3 linked regions of the Coturnix japonica genome follow. The protein of the gene in region 3 purifies or fractionates together with the protein of the main gene of each other region. This does not show direct contact. Links are inferred from orthologs where the notes say so. Each region holds a gene or a part of one and is shown on either strand. Other genes may lie near its edges.

The links.
Region 1: the proteins of TXN (region 3) and COPS5 purify together in Homo sapiens (affinity purification with western blotting; 3 studies listed by BioGRID and IntAct, with this or other methods). This does not show direct contact. The link is inferred for Coturnix japonica from reciprocal best matches to the Homo sapiens genes TXN and COPS5.
Region 2: the proteins of TXN (region 3) and AIFM1 purify together in Homo sapiens (affinity purification with mass spectrometry; 3 studies listed by BioGRID and IntAct, with this or other methods). This does not show direct contact. The link is inferred for Coturnix japonica from reciprocal best matches to the Homo sapiens genes TXN and AIFM1.

What each region holds. Positions count from the first base shown.
Region 1 is NC_029517.1:104,436,187-104,440,369, reverse strand, and holds the start of COPS5 (COP9 signalosome complex subunit 5), read left to right. Parts: upstream 1-1,243; 5' UTR 1,244-1,610; coding exon 1,611-1,765; intron 1,766-1,877; coding exon 1,878-2,112; intron 2,113-4,123; coding exon 4,124-4,183. UniProt on the Homo sapiens protein: Probable protease subunit of the COP9 signalosome complex (CSN), a complex involved in various cellular and developmental processes.
Region 2 is NC_029519.1:1,537,216-1,540,860, forward strand, and holds part of AIFM1 (apoptosis-inducing factor 1, mitochondrial), read left to right. Parts: intron 1-13; coding exon 14-144; intron 145-1,213; coding exon 1,214-1,304; intron 1,305-1,359; exon of another isoform or gene 1,360-1,530; intron 1,531-2,002; coding exon 2,003-2,087; intron 2,088-2,746; coding exon 2,747-2,823; intron 2,824-3,645. UniProt on the Homo sapiens protein: Functions both as NADH oxidoreductase and as regulator of apoptosis.
Region 3 is NC_029547.1:59,052,432-59,056,659, reverse strand, and holds the start of TXN (thioredoxin), read left to right. Parts: upstream 1-1,289; 5' UTR 1,290-1,490; coding exon 1,491-1,514; intron 1,515-3,711; coding exon 3,712-3,816; intron 3,817-4,228. UniProt on the Homo sapiens protein: Participates in various redox reactions through the reversible oxidation of its active center dithiol to a disulfide and catalyzes dithiol-disulfide exchange reactions.

The sequences.
Region 1 (4,183 bases), on a different chromosome or scaffold from region 3:
TCGTTGAGCCTATTAAGTTACATAAGAATAATAAAATGCCTGTTCTGAGTGAATAACCTGTCATGGTGATCAACTTAAAGAATTGGTGGCATCAGCTACACAGTGCAGCACCCACAGCAGGGAAAATCCCTGCATGAAGGACTGCAAGTTTCATCAGACAAGAGAAAATGGCTTATTATACTGCTGCCCAGATTTACCTGTCAACATAAAAAACTTAAGTGCTACATAAAACAGTACGATGTTGGCTTAGCAATGTGTCAGAACGAATGGTGTGAATGACCAGACCCTTGCAATCATTCCTATTGATGGCAGCAGGTTCTAAACCAGGCTTGCTTAATCGCATACTGCAGGCAATGCAAAGCACAGAGAAAAAGCCATGCTCAAATGCCAGAGATACAGACGCTGGACCTACACCCAAACACAATTAATAATGCATGTCTCCATTCTCGAGACATTCAAACCACCTATTTGTATACACGGTCAGTATATTGGAAAGAGCATCATACATCTCTTTCATTACCTCGGGGAACATTCAGTGCATTCCTTTTTACCCTTTCCCTTGTATTTCTTCAAGGAAGCAATGCATAGGATCTAAAATCAGCACTTGTGATCAGACACGCTATATGCTGTGCTATCATAATTCTAAATATCCAGAAAACTTGGCAGATGGCAATTTTCCTCCACGGAGACTGTAGCAGGGGTGGCAGGGGAGTGAAGTGCTTCAAGAAGCTCCTACACGCCACGTTCAGTAACTGCACTTACAGGCACGCCCACAATTAACTAAAACAGTATGACTTTTCCTAACTGTGAAGGCAGCCATCCATCAAAACACCAAGCCAATGAGTTCTGAGTCATCTCCTCTCACCCTAAGACTTCATTTAGGATTCCAGTCCACCTCCTCTGACCCAAAACCTAATTAATCTGAGGAATCCCTCAGGGACGGCTCACATTTATTTCCCCATAAGCGAACCCCCTCCGCCTCCTCAGACTGCTCCCGGAGCGGGGCGGGGCGGAGGCCCGGCCCCTCACAGCAGCGTTACTCCGTTGTTAGGCAACGGCCGTGCAACAAGCGGCTCCCGCACAACGCCCCACCGCCCCCACCGGGCACACAGGGCACACAGAGGCCAGGCCAGGCCAGGCCAGGCCCCGTTCCCCCGTTCCCCCGTTCCCCGCTCCCCGCACCGCCTGCCGGGCCCATCCCGTTCCCCGCCGCTCAGCCCCGCGGAAGACAGCGAGGCCGCCCGCTCGCAGCCCGGGGCGGACGCTCGACCTCCGCTCTGCGGAGCCGGGAATGGGGCAAAACGGAGCGAGGCAGCACCGAGCGCTGACCCGCCCGCACCGCCGCTCACCGGCACACACAGCCCCGTCCGCCTCCCGCGCCGGTCGCCACCTCCCCGGAAGCCGGCGGGCGGCTTTCTGCCGTCCCGGAGCTCATTCTCGCTAGCGCCGCCTGTCGCCGCGGAGGACCCGGCCCGGCCGCTTGGCCTCCACCTCCCGGCTTCCCCGGGCCTGCGCGGACCGCAGCAGCTCCCCGTTCCGCCCGGCGAGTCGCGGCCTGGCTCGGGCCGCTGCGGCTGCGGAGGGGTTGGGCGGAGCGGGCGCGGGGCGCGATGGCGGCGGCGAGCGGCTCGTCCGGGAGCGGGATGGCGCAGAAGACGTGGGAGCTGGCCAACAACATGCAGGAGGCGCAGAGCATCGACGAGATCTACAAGTACGACCGCAAGCAGCAGCAGGAGATCCTGGCGGCCAAACCCTGGACTAAGGAGTGAGAGCGGGGCCGTGGGGCGGGCGGGAGAGCGGGCGGCGGGGCCGGGGGTTGAGGCGAGGCGAGGCGAGGAGAGGCCCTGAGCGCTAAATCGGCCTCTGTCCCGCCGCAGCCACCATTACTTCAAGTACTGCAAGATCTCGGCGCTGGCCCTGCTGAAGATGGTGATGCACGCCCGCTCGGGGGGCAACCTGGAGGTGATGGGGCTGATGCTGGGCAAGGTGGACGGGGAGACCATGATCATCATGGACAGCTTCGCTCTGCCGGTGGAGGGCACCGAGACCCGCGTCAACGCGCAGGCGGCCGCCTACGAGTACATGGCCGCCTACATCGAGAACGCCAAGCAGGTATGCTGCGGTGGGGGGGATATGGCGTTGCTCTTAACTTCTTGCTTTTGGAAGTCTTAAGTCTGAAAGTGCAGTAAAATTCTCAATTGCGGAGGGAGGGTGGTCCTCCCTCTCTGCCCCAGTAATGCCACAGCTGAAGTATTCTGTCCAGTTCTGGGCTCCTCCGTTCAAGAAAGACAGGGAGCTTCTGGAGAGAGTCCTGCAGAGCGCCACTAAGATATGAGGGTTCTGGAGCATCTCCTGCATGAGGAAAGGCTGAGAGAGCTGGGACTGTTCAGCCTGGAGAAGGCTGAGGGATCTCATTACTGTTTATAAATATCTAAAGTGTAGGAGTCAAGTGGACACAGCCAGACTCCTTTCAGTGGTATGCAGCAACAGAATAAGAAGCAACAAAACAAATCTGCAACACAGGAAGTTCCATACAAACAGAAGGAAGAACTTTATCATCAGAGTGATGGTGCCCTGGAACAAGCTGCCCAGAGGGGTTGTGGAATCTCCTCTGAAGATATTCAGAACCTGCTTGATGTTTTCCTCTGACCCACTATAGGCAATCTGCTTTTAGCAGAGGGGTTGGGCTAGATGGTTATCCCCAGAAGTCCCTTCCAATCCATACAACTATGTGATTCTGTGAAATATTAATCTGCTCTGTGGCTGATGCAGAAGCTGACATGGCATATGAGCACTTGCTGGCTCAAATAAGCACTGGAATCCCTCAGACTGTCCAAGCTCAAATAGTTTGAGGCCTAGTTTACCCTTTGATTTGTCATTAATCCTTAAAGTATTTTAACTCAGCTGAAATTAGAGGGTCCTTACATAGTGTAGATAAAGGTACAACTATTTAGGTTATTTTGGAGAGGTGTCACAGCTTTCTGTGGGTTTAAGGACATTTAACTAAATTAGGTTGGATCGTGACTTCAGAAGAGAGTAAATACAGCCCAAAGGTAAGGATGTTCTAAGGCCTGTGGTGGGTTTTTTTGTTGTTTTTCGTTAACTTATCACGCTTCTTTATGAGAAAATTTCTAAGTGATCTATTTAACGTATTACTTTAATATATTATTACTTATATTATTATTACTTTAATATATTATTAAAGTAATGATTTATTGTATTCTTACTGAAAAGTATAGAAAATGAAAGGGTGTTTATATCTGAAGATACGTTTGTACTACCCAGTTCTTAGGTAGAAAAATTGTCTTAAGTATAGAGCATGGCATCGGTATTTACATGTACGGTTAGTTCATTTGACTTTTAGAACAGCCCAGGTTTATATGGGAGAATTCATGATACGAAAATAAAGCAAAAACAATAACTCAGCTTTACTGGAGCTCTGACAGTGCGTCCTGGCTGCTTCACATCTGAGGTTGGAAAGCACTTTGTCCTGGAGTAACTCTTTTTAATGTTAGATTACATGTTGATAATAAGAGCACTCTGCATAAGTGCTCTACAGAAGCTAATGTTGCAATTACTTGCTCCTCCATAGGCAGGATCTGATGATAAAATAGTTAAAAGAAAAATGTTATTTGTTTCAACGACTCAAATGTTCAGTTGGGTAGATCGTGTGTTCTGTCCCTCTTAATAGTTTCCAGATTTAACCTTCCTGGTATGCTCAGTATTTGGCAAAACCAAGCAGCTGAATGCATTGAACACACTGCCATGTAGGATGTACATAAATCCTTTCACTCAATATTGATCAGCCAGTACACAGTTCTTGGCCAGTTACAATAAACTAGGTGCGCTGGCTGTTTATTCACCGTGATTAACAATCAATTTTGATTGGTTTTGTTTGTTTGTTTGGGGTACTTGCTGAGATATCCCGGAGTATTATTTGGGAACTTCTTTTATAGTTAAGCAAAATAAAGTGCATGTTGAATATTTCAAGTTAGCATACAGGCTGTGTATATTCTTTTTATCCTCTTGCTGCGTTGTAGTGTGCTGGAAGGCTCAGTAGAGGGCAGCCCATGCTTTACGAATGAGGATCATCACTGGATTTGTTTTCCTTCACTGCTGTTAGGTTGGTCGTCTAGAAAATGCAATTGGCTGGTACCACAGTCACCCTGGCTACGGCTGCTGG
Region 2 (3,645 bases), on a different chromosome or scaffold from region 3:
TGCTTGTTTAAAGGTACTGATTGTGTCTGAAGATCCTGCACTGCCCTACATGCGTCCACCTCTCTCCAAAGAGCTGTGGTTTTCAGATGATCCTCACGTGACAGAAACTCTACGGTTCAAACAGTGGAATGGCAAAGAAAGGAGGTATGTGTCACTTGGGCAGGAAAGACAAAGAAGAGGGTCTATAAAGAAGCTGCTGATGATTAAAGTAGTCTTATGAGAGAACCACTGGAGAGCCCTGAAATGCTCAGAAGGCAGATCACCAGGTAGCACTGTGTTTGTGCTGAAGGCCCTGGGTGTGTGTGTATTTGTGTGTATTGTTGGTTGACTAATCCAAAAAGGAACAGAGCATTGCATGCTGTGGGCAGAATTTGTGTGGTGTTTGCACTGGGCCAGGTGACTACATTGTGCAGTTCAAAAAGCTGCAGATTCATGGAGTGTGGGTTTGCAGAGCTGTTACAGACGTGTCAGTCAAGCAACAGATCAGGCTGTAAGGCATGGTAGTTGTCAAGAAGAGTGCAGCTTAATATAAGTTAGCTCAATACTAAATTGAATTTGAGACTTGTGATTCCCTTAGATGTATGTGTAATGCTATAACACGATGGAAAGTACGATAATAATAGAGGGGCAAAATACTTTGACCAAAGCAAATGAGGATAAGCCCAAGTGCAGCAGTATAGAAACAAGGGGAAAAAACGTGCTTACCTTTAGAAGGTCTCCAGCATGCAGGGAACTCCAACAAGAGATGCCCTTACTTCCACTGCCAACCCTTAAATGAGGGCTGGGAAGAGGCATATCCTGACTCCATCCCTTTCATCCCTCAGATACACTGCATGCACCTGAGCTCCTCTGGGCTGGCCCTGCCTTCCCACCAGGTGTTCAATCACTGCTTCAAGCTCAACAGTGTTTTTGCTACAATATGCCACTAGTAGGAGAAATCCCGTGAAATAAGTTAATTGTAGAGGTGAGGATGGAGCCTTGCAGTTCAGAATGGAGCTCCTGGAACCTTGGATCCCACCGGATCCCTTTGGTATTCGTGACTGTATCTCTTTCTGATCTAAACACTAGAATGTAACAATGTGCAGCAACTAGTTCTTTGCTGTTTCTGAGGCTTGTTGTGGTTGCACACAGTTGTTTTCATGTCATTGGTGATTCCTGTATAGCTGGTACCAAAGAGTAACTGGAACACATCTGCTAATTGATCTCTTCCCAGTATATATTTCCAGCCACCGTCATTCTATGTGCAGGCTCGTGATTTGCCTTTTGTAGAGAATGGTGGAGTAGCAGTTCTCAGTGGCAAGAAGGTGAGTACTACATGTCTCGCTGTCGTTCTAATGTCATACAGTTCTTCCCAAGCAGAGCCTGTGTCTGAGCTGGAAATAAACAGCTGTAGATGGTGTTGTGGAGGTTGGCTGAGGAGAAGAATGTGGACAGTTTTCAGAAACGTGTATACAGTGAATCAGGGACTACCCTAATATTAAGGACAGCATGTGTGAAAGCAGGAGAAGCTATGAGGAGTAGTAGCTAAAGGTAAGAAGACAGTTTGTGTGTGGGATAAGAATATGTAGAGCTTAAAGACTGTGTGGCAAAATGGGAACTGAGCTGCATATGAGTTGGAAGGTGAGGTGAGTAGAATATCATCAAAGTAGTGGACTGCAGCATAAGTAAGAGCAGAGTACAGAGGCAGCAGAAAGGTGGAAAAGAGTTTATGGTTTCCTCAGTTCTTTATATCTTGCTAAAACAAAGAATGTAGTCTTCTCACTGCTGAATTGTTTCTTACATTCATATCCTGCGGTGATCAGTCCAATCTGTCATTGCTACCAAAAGAAACTGAATTCCTATTGCCAGTTCCCCCCTCCCTGAAAAATTACAGAGCATTTCAAAGGTGTGAAAATGGTGCTTCCAAGTATTCTTCTCTATTTGGTAGTCTGTGCAATCTGACTCAAGTAGGTGTCCTACAATGAGTGGAAGCCTGAGCTGCCCTGCTTGGTTTTCTTTGCAGGTTGTGCATATGGATGTGAGAGGCAACACTGTGAAACTCAATGATGGCACGCAGATATCCTATGATAAATGTCTAATTGCGACTGGTGAGACTTTTGTTCTGATCTCCTGTTCTTCATGTTGTGTCGGGCTTTTGATTTCAGTGGCATTAAGTGACAAGCTTCTGCCATGTGGCAGAGCAGTCACACGAAGGGCAATAATACAGACAAACGTGGTGGCGCTGGGTTTTTTACTTGCTTTGCATAAGCCAGCTTCTCTGGGACATTCAGAGTTTTACCCTGTGAAAAGCAGCAGGGAAGGAGGAAAAGGTGACTGCCCCAGCAGCTGGGTAAAGGCACTCCTCTATAGTCTGGGGTTTTCAAATCCTGCCTTTAGCAGCAGTAAGGAGAACACCCAGCTCTTAGCTTGGTAGAGCACCACTGCAGCATCCAGCACTAGCGGTTACATCCTTGTGTAGTTAATTTGGAACTGACTCTGCAGTCAGTGGAGCAAGGTGCATGGCATTAGGTTGATTGTGGGGGGTGTTTCTGTTGGCTTGTTTTAACTCAGACTGCAGACTTGTCCACTGCTTGCACTGAAGGTCTTCCATGGTGGAAACCAGAGGGCAAAAGAGAATAGAGCATACTGTAACAGCTTGAAAAGCTCAGTCCAGATGGGTGGTGGCTCTGCATTGCTGACATGGCCAGCAGTCACAAACATTTCTCTCTCCCTGTCTTCCCCCTCCTCCCTTCCACCCTGTCCTCAGGTGGTTCCCCAAGGAACCTGCCCGCCATCGAAAGGGCAGGAAAAGATGTACAACAACGGCTGACGCTGTTCCGAAAGGTAATCTACAGGCACTGCTAGACCTGGGGTGAGGCTGAGCTCATCAGAAACACTGCCAGCATTTTCAGCTTGTTAACTCTTCTGCATTGGGTCCAGGACAGCCTTGCCTTGACTACCAGCTCCCCTCAGCTGGTAACCAGGGATCCATTTGCTGTTTATTCTTTTCCCTGAGCAGGTGAATGGGATAAAGCCTGACCTCGCCCTCCCCCTTAGCCTGAAACATTCCTATCATAGACTGAAGTTTTAGCTGAGTGTTTGTGTTAGCTCTTGGGTTAGCTTAGGTAGTTTAGATACTCTAATGTCTTCTTCATGGCATTTCTTCACCTTCATCCTGCGCCTTAGGGGAAAGTGGGTGAAAGAATTGAAGTTAGTTGGCAGACTCCTAGTTTTTGTTGGAGGGATGCTTTTTGTTGACAAGCTCCACGTGTCTTGTAGGGTTTACAACAGACAGGGAGTTTCTTCCTTAGTCTGGTTCAGGGAATTAATTGAGGACAAGGAGCCCTGTGGGAATGTCGTGCCCTGCACTGGACTTGCCTTGGTCCAGTCACTGTCAGGTCTGCTGTGATCGGCTCAGCTGTGTAAGGGATGTGTAACAGAAATGTAATGGGGGACGTGGTGTTCTTACAGTACTGTGTGTGCTGTAACCTGGAGATTTCATTGCAATTTCCTCTTGACGTGTGGGAGAAAATGCTGAGATTGTGCAAGTTTTTCCCCATCACCAAACACTAGGAAGCCAGACAGTTTGGGTTTTCTCTTTCCTGTTTCTCTTTTTCTTTCTGTGCAATAGAGGAAGGAGAAACATGTCTCCCATTCTAAGTCAAG
Region 3 (4,228 bases):
CTGGAAAGTACAGTATGTGGCAGTGCTCTCCCCCTCCTTTCTGTCATTGTTCAATGGCTTCTCCTCCGTCTTTCAACCAGATGTGCTCTGCCAAGTGTTCAAGAGAGGCTGGGTGATTGGGTACGTCACCAGTGAGAGCAGAGCTCTGTGTGCACTGCGCATATGGCTGGCAGACACCCAGCACACCCATCTAATTATTAAATATTTATTGCACCTTTAATGGGTCAGTTACAACAGAAGAGTGCTCCCAAGGAGCAGGCTGCAAGGAACGGGAAAGCACCATTAAAGACTGTCAGGGCCAGATGAAATGCAGCGTGGTAATGCACTGCAGATAACCCGTCTCTCCTGCGATAAAACGTGGTGCAGCTGTTGCTGCAGGCAGTTCTTCCAGCAGCTTCCTCCCTTTGGCAGCTGTCTGCACCATTGCTTAATGCCGGACGTGCCCAGCCCTCTGTGACATGGCCAGGCTTGGATCTGCTGTGAAACTGGCCCTTCTGCTGCACTGTGTGATTCTCACTGTATCCTCTGGTCACAAAGTCCAGCGCCACTTAGACACTGTATAATGCCTTGGGAGAACTGCTGGCTGACGGGCCAGGACTGGAGGGTTGTATTAATGGGGTTACATGGCAGATTGTCACCAGTGGGGTCCTGCATTGGCTCCATTTAAGGTCCAGTCTCTTCAGTGGGTTATCGGGGAGCTGAGTGCACACTGATTGTCCTCTGATGGTGCTGAACTAGGGGAAGCCGTTGGTTCCCATGCAGGAACTGGATGATCTTTGGGGTCTCTTACAAGCCAAGGGGGCTGGGAATAAAAGGAAAAGGAAGATATGGAGCATGGGCAGACAGGGGACAGACACACGGACATGGGGACAGGCAGACACGTGGCACGGCCAGCACACAGCCCGTGTCGCAGCACATGGGTGCTGGAGGCAGAAAAAAAACCCAGTTTTAAAACGATTTTAAAACAGAATCGAGAAATAAAACAGGAGGAGTCCCCCCATACGGGTTCCCACCCCCTCCCCTCCTCCAGGGCAGGATCCTGCCCGCCACTTCCTGCTCGGCGTTACGCAGCACTTTTTCTTACAGTCACACGGTTGGTTTTTTTTTTCTTTCTTTTTTTTTTTTTTTTTTTTTTTTATTTCTTTTTTTCCCCCTATTTTCCCTCCTCTCCCCCCTCTCGCTGCTCCCCCCAACCCCCGCCCTGTGAAAGAACTATAACGGCCGCTCCCCTTCCCGCCTCGTGACGTCACCCGCGCCATGGGCGGGAAGGGGCGTGGCCCGGCGATGGGCTGAGCGCTCAGTGCGCATGCGCGATGCAGCGGTGGCTATATAAGGGCAGGCCCGGGGCGGCGGCGGCAGAGCGTTGGTTTGGCGTTGCGGAGTGAGGACCGGTATAGACACAGCCGAGAGCGCAGCGGCGTGCGGGACGCGCGTGCGCGGGGACGAGCCCGTTGTCCGCCTTGTGACCGTACAGCACAGTGAGAGCCGCCATGGTGAAGAGCGTGGGCAGCCTGGTGAGTGCATGGGGCGGCACGGTGGGGTGTGGGTGAGGGGGGCTTGGTGTCGGCGCCGGGCCTTGGGCCGCGCTCCTTTGTGTGCGCTGAGCCTGAGGCCGCTCCCCAATGGCGGCTGCGCTCCGGCCGCAGGGGGCACTGCGGGAGCGGGTTAAACTGCAACACGTCGCCCTGACCCTTGGCTGTCAGCTGATGGCCGCGATCACAGAATGACCCGGGTTGGGAGGGACCTCAAGGATCATGTAGTTCCAACCCCCCTGCCTGGCAGGGCCACCAAACATACGCCTTTACTAGATCAGGTTGCCGGATCAGCACGGCCCAAGGGCGGCTCGGTGGGTGTCAGACATCGTGCTTATAGCTGGGGTCTTGTATTAAGGCTGTCCCAGCTATGCTGAGGGCGGTGGATTTCTTACGGCGTTGGTTGGTGGCCTCCATTTTGGGTTGCTGGGAATCCCTGCTGCATTGAACCTCTCCTTGCCACCTGTTTTCTCGCAGCCGGCCCTTGGAAACTGAAATCTGCTAACATAATGCTGCCTGCTGCGCCCAGCAAAGTGAGGCCGAGGCCTCAGGGAGGCACCAGATGGGTATTTGAAAAGTGTTTATGGGCTTTTCCCCTCCAGAGGACTAAGGAAAATATTGCTGAAAAAGCTGTGAGATCCTCTAACAGCTGTAGCCACGTGGACTAACAGGGGGAGGTGTCCATTCTGATAATGGAGATATTTCTGTATGAATCTTATTAATCCATACTTACTGCAGAAAGACTAGAAGTCAGAAAGGTCAGCCAGTTTTCCTGCTGTATTCCTTACTTCAGGGATATTAATGTTTTCTGAGGAAAAAATACCAACACTTACCCCTTGCTGGGTATCTCAGGGGTAACACCGTTGGACCTCGTGTCTCTTCTCAGGCTGCCTGTAGCAATTTTAGCTAATTCTAGGGATGACTCACAGGGTAACGCCTGGCTGCAGCTGGAGAGCAGTGCTCAGATCTCCAGTGGTGTATGGGTTGTGATCTGCAGGAAGTGCCATGTCCTCCCACTTTGCCCTTGTTCTGTGCAATATTGCCCTGAGATGTGTGGTCATATGATCAGCGCGTCCCAGGGATGGCCTTCCTCATGCAGGGTACAGCAATCAGTCATTTGGACTGAGGAAAATAGTCCAATTGGTGGGTGCAGGAGGTAGAATTAATATTAATAAGGCTGTTACAGCACTAAGTTGTGAGAATATATGCCAGAAATCAGGGATTTGGAGGTGGGAGTGAGTGAGGCTCTATTTAACAGCCTTATGGTTTTAAGTAACCACTGGGAGCAGATAGCATGGACTACTGTGTATGTGAACGCTGAACTTTGCTGGAGGCAGTGTTGTGCTTTAGAGACTGGGATGCAGGAATACACCCCACATTAGCACAGTGGTGGAGAAGAAGAGAGAGAGGAAGAACTTCTTGCTGCCACCCTTGCCTGTGTGTTGGATCAGCATCCTCTGCTTGCTCTGCCTGAGATACTTGTTTGTTTTTTAGCATGCAAATATTTCTTTCCTTCAGTGCCTTACACTTCTGTTGAAACATTTGCTCTTTGAAAACAGCGGCACATAAGGAGCTCTGAAATGCAAAGCGTGATGTCCAGAAATGTCTCTTGTAACAAAGTGCAACAGAGATATCTCTGTTAACCTTAAATGTTAGTTGTTACTGGCATAGACTGTGTAGCTTTGCATTGAGTACTGGAGTTACACCCCAATTTACTTGGCATAATAAAATATTTATATGATGAAGCTGTTGCTCTAGGAAACATGCTGTAGGGTAAACCACGCAACATCTTGATTCTAACCATTGCTTGGGAAAGGTATCAGACCATGAAACTGTGGAAGTTTGTCCTCAGATTCTGAGGAATCCTAGAAGAAAATGGACGACATCCTATTAAATTGGAGATTAGAACTGAATGCTAAGGACCGTCAGGATCACGTTAGAAGTGTAACATTACTCAGTTTAGCTTACGGTCTCAGTTCATGCTGAGTTCTACATAAACTTCCACAGTTCAGTGACTGAGCATTGTGATGTTTCATAATTGATACTCATAATTCATCAGAAGACAGTGGGGGATGCAGTGCTGATGGAGCTAAGGGAAAGCTGACTTGGGGGTTAGTCTTGAACCTTTTGCAAATGAGGGGGGAAATCCTTAATGTTTTGATTTCTTTTTTCTTTACAGTCCGAATTTGAGGCAGAACTGAAAGCTGCTGGTGAGAAGCTTATAGTAGTTGATTTCTCTGCCACATGGTGTGGACCATGCAAAATGATCAAGCCATTTTTCCATGTAAGTAGCTTTTGTCTTTCACAGTAACTTTAAGTATATAGAAATACTTCTGTGCAACTTCTAATATGGTGGAAACCTTCTTTGTCTATGGTGTGTTTTCCTGAAGGAGGAATCTTAGAAGGATATGATAGGTAACTATTGAATAAAGCACTTGGATACACAGCGGGGAACTAACACACTGTAGCGTTTTGTCTGTCCTGGTGTGCTGATGCATCAGTCTGTAGGGACCTAGCTGGTGCATTTCCACAAGAACTGGCAACAGTGGAGTTGAAATAATGTATATATGCTGGCTCTGATTATTTAAACTGCGTTCAGTTAAGCTGTAGCATCTTTATGTGTTGAGGGGGAAGCCATAAGGGAAGGAAAGGCCTTTCCCTTATGCTTAGGTGCTTCAGCAGACTCTTCCAGGGGA